Daphnia pulex: one gene and its partner. The protein of the gene in region 2 purifies or fractionates together with the protein of the main gene of each other region. This does not show direct contact. Links are inferred from orthologs where the notes say so. Each region holds a gene or a part of one and is shown on either strand. Other genes may lie near its edges.

What was found.
Region 1: the proteins of serine/threonine-protein kinase B-raf-like (region 2) and regulatory-associated protein of mTOR-like purify together in Homo sapiens (affinity purification with mass spectrometry; 3 studies listed by BioGRID and IntAct, with this or other methods). This does not show direct contact. The link is inferred for Daphnia pulex from reciprocal best matches to the Homo sapiens genes BRAF and RPTOR.

The regions. Positions count from the first base shown.
Region 1 is NC_060017.1:2,269,701-2,273,454, reverse strand, and holds the end of regulatory-associated protein of mTOR-like, read right to left. Parts: coding exon 3,626-3,754; intron 3,563-3,625; coding exon 3,259-3,562; intron 3,194-3,258; coding exon 3,057-3,193; intron 2,995-3,056; coding exon 2,900-2,994; intron 2,837-2,899; coding exon 2,755-2,836; intron 2,680-2,754; coding exon 2,515-2,679; intron 2,446-2,514; coding exon 2,339-2,445; intron 2,275-2,338; coding exon 2,158-2,274; intron 2,090-2,157; coding exon 1,662-2,089; intron 1,595-1,661; coding exon 1,429-1,594; intron 1,349-1,428; coding exon 1,223-1,348; intron 1,160-1,222; coding exon 955-1,159; 3' UTR 224-954; intron 154-223; 3' UTR 75-153; downstream 1-74. UniProt on the Homo sapiens protein: Component of the mechanistic target of rapamycin complex 1 (mTORC1), an evolutionarily conserved central nutrient sensor that stimulates anabolic reactions and macromolecule biosynthesis to promote cellular biomass generation and growth.
Region 2 is NC_060021.1:7,350,905-7,354,658, reverse strand, and holds the start of serine/threonine-protein kinase B-raf-like, read right to left. Parts: upstream 2,748-3,754; 5' UTR 2,735-2,747; coding exon 2,591-2,734; intron 2,174-2,590; coding exon 2,072-2,173; intron 1,857-2,071; coding exon 1,422-1,856; intron 1,358-1,421; coding exon 1,253-1,357; intron 1,183-1,252; coding exon 1,016-1,182; intron 684-1,015; coding exon 448-683; intron 88-447; coding exon 1-87. UniProt on the Homo sapiens protein: Protein kinase involved in the transduction of mitogenic signals from the cell membrane to the nucleus. Phosphorylates MAP2K1, and thereby activates the MAP kinase signal transduction pathway. Phosphorylates PFKFB2.

The DNA of each region.
Region 1 (3,754 bases), on a different chromosome or scaffold from region 2:
TGCACTGTATTTTCCTGCAGAATTCAATATTGAACATTAGTTTACGTCTTTTCAAGTTCTTCAAGACAATCTACCGTCATGGGGACCGTTGTATAGGGCATCGAAGGAGGCACATGCGATACTCAGTAAAATCACTAAAAGAAGCTTTACTACCTAAGGATAATATGTACATAATCATAAGCATCAAAAGAGTTTTACATGTAACAAGGTGTACCAAACGTACCACAGAAAAGATGCTGATAATTTTAGTCCCCGTTTGAAGAGAACAGCCACACCAGCTCTCAGTAAACCTGGGAATCCTCATGGTGAGTTTGACAACTTAATCCCGTTTTCAATACGAGGTTAACAAAGGCTAATGCGACGTTGGTTTTCACTGCGTTCAAACACATAAACGATTGATCTGGCCACCAGCTGATCAGTACAACGGAAAAGCTCCGTTCCGATAACCTTATCGCAACAACTGATAAACGGGTAGAAAGATCAAAGCCGAAGCATCACATTTTCTTTTTTACTTAAGTCGAACAATGTCGTCTAAACATTCTGACGACGGAAATTCATCGACAAAGTTTTTGGTATTCAATTACTTTGTATTACCCAATACTCACATGGATTGAGAACGTCGACCCAAACAGCATGGGCATGTAAACTTATCTTGTGTAACGTGAGCATAGCTCGATATAATAACATGAAAATCATACCCAATGAATAAACTGATAAGAAGTCAGCAGGAAGCTTCACACACAAAAAAAAATACATTTAAGATACACAATTAATTTAATTCGGTGCATGAATTAATATAGAGGATGCTTCATTTTGAATCTTTCGCTCACAATAGTGATTGTTTGTAACTGGGTATTTAACATATGCGAGGTCTCGCGGCTCGAATTGAAAAATCTCCAACAGAAAAAAAGAAAACGACGAATCTTGACGGTGAGTCAACAAAAGCAAACCATTCTACTTCTTTGACTTATCTGAAGAAAAAACAGAAATCATCGAGTCCATGCCTCCAGCAGCGAGGCACACCCGATGTGGATGAAAGGTTAAACAGGAGACAGCTGCAATTTTGGAGCCCAAAAGACCACCGCCGTCGTGATACGCGATAGTAGAACGCACTTCTCCTTCTTGGTCGTGTACGGTAATGTACTGCCCGACAATTCCACTAATAATGAAAACGATGCATGTTAGTGAAAATAAGCATTTTTCCACACAAAAGCTGTTTTACCAAGCAAATAAGTTAGCCTTGGGATGGACTGCCATGGCAGTCATTCCTTGCGAATTAGGCGCTGTGGCTACGGTGAGAACCGAGTTGGGATTTCTAGGATCCATGAACTTGATGTCACCCGCCAGACTTGAGAAAAAAAAACAACTATTAGTTATCAAACGTAATTTCATACAATGTAACGATTAATACGATGAGATGATTGTTACCTGCCACTCACTAAGTTGGCACCTCCTTCAACCGAAATCCATTCGCAATCTATGACCCAAGCAGCATGCTCCCTCCAAGTCATAACTCTAGATTTTGCAGCGCTGCATCGCTGATCAAAAAGGCGGACTGATCCGTCTCCACATGACGCTACAAAGAGCGATCGATCTGAAGACAAAATTATCAATTTAATTTGCGCAAACGATTATATAAATTTCTTAAACTTGGTCAAAACCTCGCGGGTTATGATGAACGGAGGTCACACAATTTTCTGAACCAGTAGGAAAGTCGCTGACTTTCAATTCACGCTCTACGTCCCAAATGCGGATCAAGCGAACATCGCCTGTTGCTAGCAATTGTAAAGAATCCTGATTCCAATCCAAAACCAGACCGGAACATCGAGTCGATGGTGCCATTTCAGCTATACAGTTCCATGCTGAAACAAGAGAAACTCCAGTGTGATCTTCGACAACAGCATTTGCTGATCGAGATCCTGTTCGAATAAAATCCCGCCAGATTCTGCACGACCCATCATCTGCACCAATAAGAAGTAACGCATCATCATGTCCGTTCACAAAATCCATTGATGTAATTCGAGCAGCCCTGGGTTGTTGTTGATTGTTAAAATGGACAAGACGGACGCTTCTTTCCCAGTCCCATACTCTGCATTATAGAACAATTTTCGTCGAGCACAGAAAAACTTTTATCACCATAAAAGAATTGTTTCTTACGTGCATCCTTCTTTATCTGCTACAGCAAGCCAAGGATCGTAGGGATGAAAGCGGATAACTGAAGGTACCAGTGGATTCCGATTGCAGAAAACCTCTTTCATTTTTGCTTTATTTGGTCTAAATAAATAAACATAGAATTTTAAATTAAAAAACCAGGTAAAAACCCTGAAATTGAGTTCACCTTTGACATTCTTCTTTAGCTTCATGGCGAACGGAAGCATTTCTTGTATATCGCCATTCGCGCGTGTAGTACATTTCAGTGTCTCGTTCACGTGTTCTCCCGCATATCTAGTTGAGAACAAAAAAATATATCAATAATAATTCTAAAAAATCATAGAATCCATGTTGAGGTTGTACTTCGAATTCAATAGTTAATTCTTTTTCGTGATTGGGTTTCATATTGATTTGAAAATCTTCATTAGACGCAGCTGGTTCAGCAAAATGACGAGCGCACCATTCGACAAATCCGGTTACTACTAAAGGATCCTTCAACTCTTTGGAACTTTCACCTTCTTCCACAATCTAGCAACGAATAAATAATAATTGAGTAGTAGTAAGAAACATTCGGTTGAGGAAGCCAGTTCAAAATGTTATTACTGTAGATGGTATGCTTCGTTTCCTGATTCTGTTGAATGAGGGAGTAGTGCGTTGGACAAGGGCCCGTGGAGGAGAGTCCCCACTGAAACAAGTCTCAAATATATTCGTTATTTGTACGAGGTATTGTAATAGTATACAGCATTACATGTAGAGGGATTTATCCATAGAATCGTTACTCGAATTGGAATACGTATATTGACGACTAACGTCTGATTCCCGTGAAGCTATCACTTCTTTAGCCTGAAATATGCATGTTATGTTTAAGTGGCTGACCAACTGCGTAATTTTTAAAAAGGAAATACCTTATTCCGCACATAATCCGTTAATTTCTTTGCCATCGTAGAGACTTCCAGGTAAGGATCTTTTTCCATGCTTGAAAGTCCGTGCCAAAGTTTGACGTAAATAGTGTTAAAAGCAAGACTAGGCAAAGTGGAACTCGCTGCAAAAATAAAATTTAGAAATATTTTATTTTAATCAATTTTTGGCTTACTATTAAAATCTTACTAAGGCTACTGAGAGAGGAAATAGAAACCGCTCGTCTAATATGATCTGGATGCCCGGAGTTTGTGGAATGGGTGAAACCACTATCTGATAGTTCCGGACTTGTGCCTAGGTTCATCGCATTGGATGTGGAGGCCCGCGAACGACGCGTGGGCCTCTGTAGACTACCAGAAGAAGTTAACGTTACTTCCACGTTTGGAGAGAGACTGTTCGAGTCTTTATTCTTTTCCTCTTCTATCTGTTGAACAGCCATTTGAATGAACGTGGACTCGAATATCAAAACAATCCACTGGAGAGCGCCAACGATCTTTAGAAAGAAAATTAAATTTAACGAATATTCAATTCCCAAAGCGAAAAGAAGCTACTATACCTCTTTGCGAACCAAAGGACTAGCTTCCGAGTTCACAACATTCACCAGTTGTAAGGCCACTGCGTGATCAATTTTGTTGGCAAGTTCATTTCGTTCCGTCTTTCCTCCACTATGGATAAACGTTCCTAG
Region 2 (3,754 bases):
CTTCCCGGATGCCATTCAAGCCTTTGTTGCTGTTGCTCCGGCCTCCGCCGTTTTGTACCAAACGTGTTAAACTGATCAGGCCAGCTTCTGTGGTTTTTTGTTTGTTTTGTTTGAGGATTTTAAGGTCGGGTTTCAGTGGTTTTGTGTACACGCAGGATTCCCCACACACAGCGGATTCGATGGTTTTGGGTTTTGTTTTCGGGTTTTTTTTTGTGTGGATTTAACGAAAATTTGCAACAGGCAAACGGAAAGAAAAGAAAACCAAATGTAAACGAGGCAAAAAAAAAATAAAATTTCGTGCACTTAATAATTTGGTTGATAAAAACGAAAACAAAAAATTGTGAATCAATGTTAGGGATTTTAAGACGGAGTCAGCCACTTCATCTTACAAGCCGATTTAAAAAATAAATAAAACACTTGCAAAAGAATAATGAAAATTTGGCGTACCTGTTGCAGCAAGGTTGTGAGCTTTGATACGATAGGACCAATCCTCTAACGCGGTATCGATGCCGCCTTGATTGCCGACCATATTGTAACAAACGTTAGGAGCCGATGTTGATCGTTCTCTTTGGGCTAGAGGTGGAGGGTGGCGTCGAGGAATCTGCATCGGCTGGAATGTCGGCGGGTATGTAAGGCCGGCTGTGTACGGGTACGGTACGGGGCCCTCTGGACACGATATTAACCTATCAAATATTCCATACAAATCAGGATTAGGTCATTGAATGTTTGAAATTCGCCATTTTTTAAATCTTTCTGGAACTTGATAATTTAACAAAAGTAAAAGCAAAAATGTTTCTGTTGCTGACAAAAAAACGCCCCTAAATTTAATTCCAAGAAAAAAAATTCCCAAGTACTTAGAAGACCTTCAGCGTAGTCTTTTGATCTCAAACTATGGCCAAGGTCTTCTAGGTATGCAATCAAATTTTCACTCTACGCTTTTGAACGCGAAAATTGGATGAGAGCAGACTCGCAACGATGTACCAACGCAATTTCCTTTTACGACACGATTACTCACATCTGTAGGAGTGTGTTTTCGGCTACGTGAGCCGGATTGCACAAGGGAGGGACGGCTGCAGCGCAACGCTGATGAAAACGATATCCGCACGTCCGACAATAGAAGCCTTGAAAGAGCAGGCGTCGGCAGGATTCGCAGTAAGCCAAAGAAAAGAATGTTTTGCGCACCTTTTCAAATCAAGTTTTAAATTAACGATTGAAATGTAAACCAATGTCGTCTGATTTTTTGTAAACTTACGAAATTGTGAGATATGCTGGTTGTGGCTGAGAAATTATCCTTAAGTTTAACACGAATCTCTCCACCTTCGACTGAAGCTATATCGGCATCCCATTGTACTTTAACCTTTGGGGAGAAAAATGGGGGAATATTGACATTATTGTTATGCGTGTAACTTGTTTTGTAATACCTCAGGCTGTGTGCATCGATAGACCGCGCACGTGGACGGGTCCAGCTTGCGCAGCTTCATAGCTTTTGAAAGGGCTTCACGCACAGTTTGGCCGGGTTTGACTTGTACGATCGTCCGTTGCTCGTTGGGCAGGTATGCTCGCACTACCGACTTTAGAGGTGATCGAGGAGGAGGAGGGATAGCAATTAAAGGCGGACCGGGAGCTTGTTGTTGATGATGAATTTGTTGTTGCTGGTGTCCATGATGATGACCACCTCCATCTGGCCCAAATCCTGTTTTGAGGTGTGGTGGCAATTCAGCATCGGAACAATCTTCCAACTCGTGACCACCAGGACTTTGTCGTCCATTGGATGCCGTAGCTGCGCTTACTCTTTCGATGAGTTCTTGCTCTCGGGCTTTGAATTCGTGCAATTTGCTTGTCAATTCATTGTATTCCTATTGAAAAACAAAAACCAAGTCATTCTGATGTCATAATGAAATGAGTAGGACATAGAGATTATAGATTTGTTCAAAGACAGCTATGTTTTAGTGGAAAAACTGGCTGCGCTATGGAAAATCTGCAAATGTAGTTTTATTCGACTTTTGATGATAAATGAGCTTTCAGAAGGGAAATTGAGGGGTGGAACTAAAGAAAACTGAATTGCACTTACAGCTATGTACATCAAGGGTGGGTGTTGGAATCCAGCAAACTGTGCATTGAGCGCATCAATATTTTCTTTGGTGAGGCGAATGACACTTTGAATGTTCCGCAGCTGCAAAGAAAACACAAGAAACAATGAATTAGAAAGCCTTGTATCAAGCAAAACACTATTGAAAAGATAAGTAGGCATTTTGAAGTTGATGCTCAATGATGGACCTCAATTGATATGATATTGAATGTCTGTTTTGAGGCTGTCACTGAATCAAAACAATTCAGTGGGACAGTGTTCCCAAGAAACTTTTCCACTTAAAGCGATCAAACCATTGGGATTCTTTTTTGGAGCACTTTGTTTTCGGGAATGGTCCTCTTCGATATGAATTAATTTTGCAGATGGAATGCTTCGATAGCGTCAAAAAGAATAAAGCCAAACATCCCGGTGGAAAGTGAAACGAAATGACATTTCTCAGAGATCTCTTTCCTGGATGTCATTCTTCGAGCGAACCAAACAACACTGTAAATAGATAGTCACCTCATCGTGAATCGTTCCTGTTTCTTCATATTTGCGATGTCTTTTAGGGCTGGGAAGGGTGAAATTCGTCATTGTACTGCCGAGAAGAGTCTCGTTCACGGCCATCTTGGACCGATTTTTTTTCTCTCCCCCTTCTTCTTCCATTTATTATTTTTTTCCCTTTCATTCGCTGGGCACCAAAGTCTTGGCGATCGCGCTAGATGGCTTCAAACTTGAAACGACATCTAGCGGCAACGCATCAAATCACTTTTTTTATTATAATCACGTGATCTTTTGTTTATTGTTTATGCGGAAATGGGAACTGCCGATTGCGTGTATATTATGTAAATAACTGCGAGTGGAGTTGAAGGCTAAAATATTGATATACAGCATATCTATTTATTTTTCACTAAACTAATCAAGTAAAGAACAAGTTGTACAGGATCAAGCAATGCCCTTAAAGAAAAGTGACTGACATGGTAAAATACCGCGTAAATTTGAAAGAAAAACGGCCAGCCATAAAAGTTCCACAAATTGAAACGATGGCACGATGTTTCTGGCTTTCGAGTTGAATAACAATTGTGACTAAAGATAATTACGTAATTGAAATATTATGTCTCAATTGGGTGCTGCTGAGTGAAAGGGTTTTTTTTTTTTTTTAAAATCTAACAACAAAAATGTTTTCCGGTTGCGGCTTCCTTCTCGTAATCATCAGCAATTTTGACCCTGATTAAAGAAAATGTGGAGTAATTTCTATCATGAACGATTTCGAGCAAATGTCAGTAAAGATCCGTCATTTGCAAAACAACAAGGGATTTTACTAAATAATTAAAAATAACGACGGGGTTTCACGTAGCACTGTTAATATGCCGAAAACATGTGCCCGTCAAATTGGACTAGTACAATTGGGAGAAGGAATCGAAACTGGTTCTAGGTTCCAGCCAGCCAACAAAAAAACTAACAAGGAAATTTAAATTTGGAAATATTGTTGAAAAAAACTGAAAAAAAAGGAGTATTCTATCTAAACCTAGAACCCCAAAAAATATGTTTTCTGAGCGACTGGGACTAACGCGCTATCACACCGCATGTTGTTTTTAAATCATAATTCATAATTAATTGACTAAGAGGGTAAAGTTTGCTGAATGATTTTTCCTCAGCTAAACATGAAAAACTGAACTGAATTTG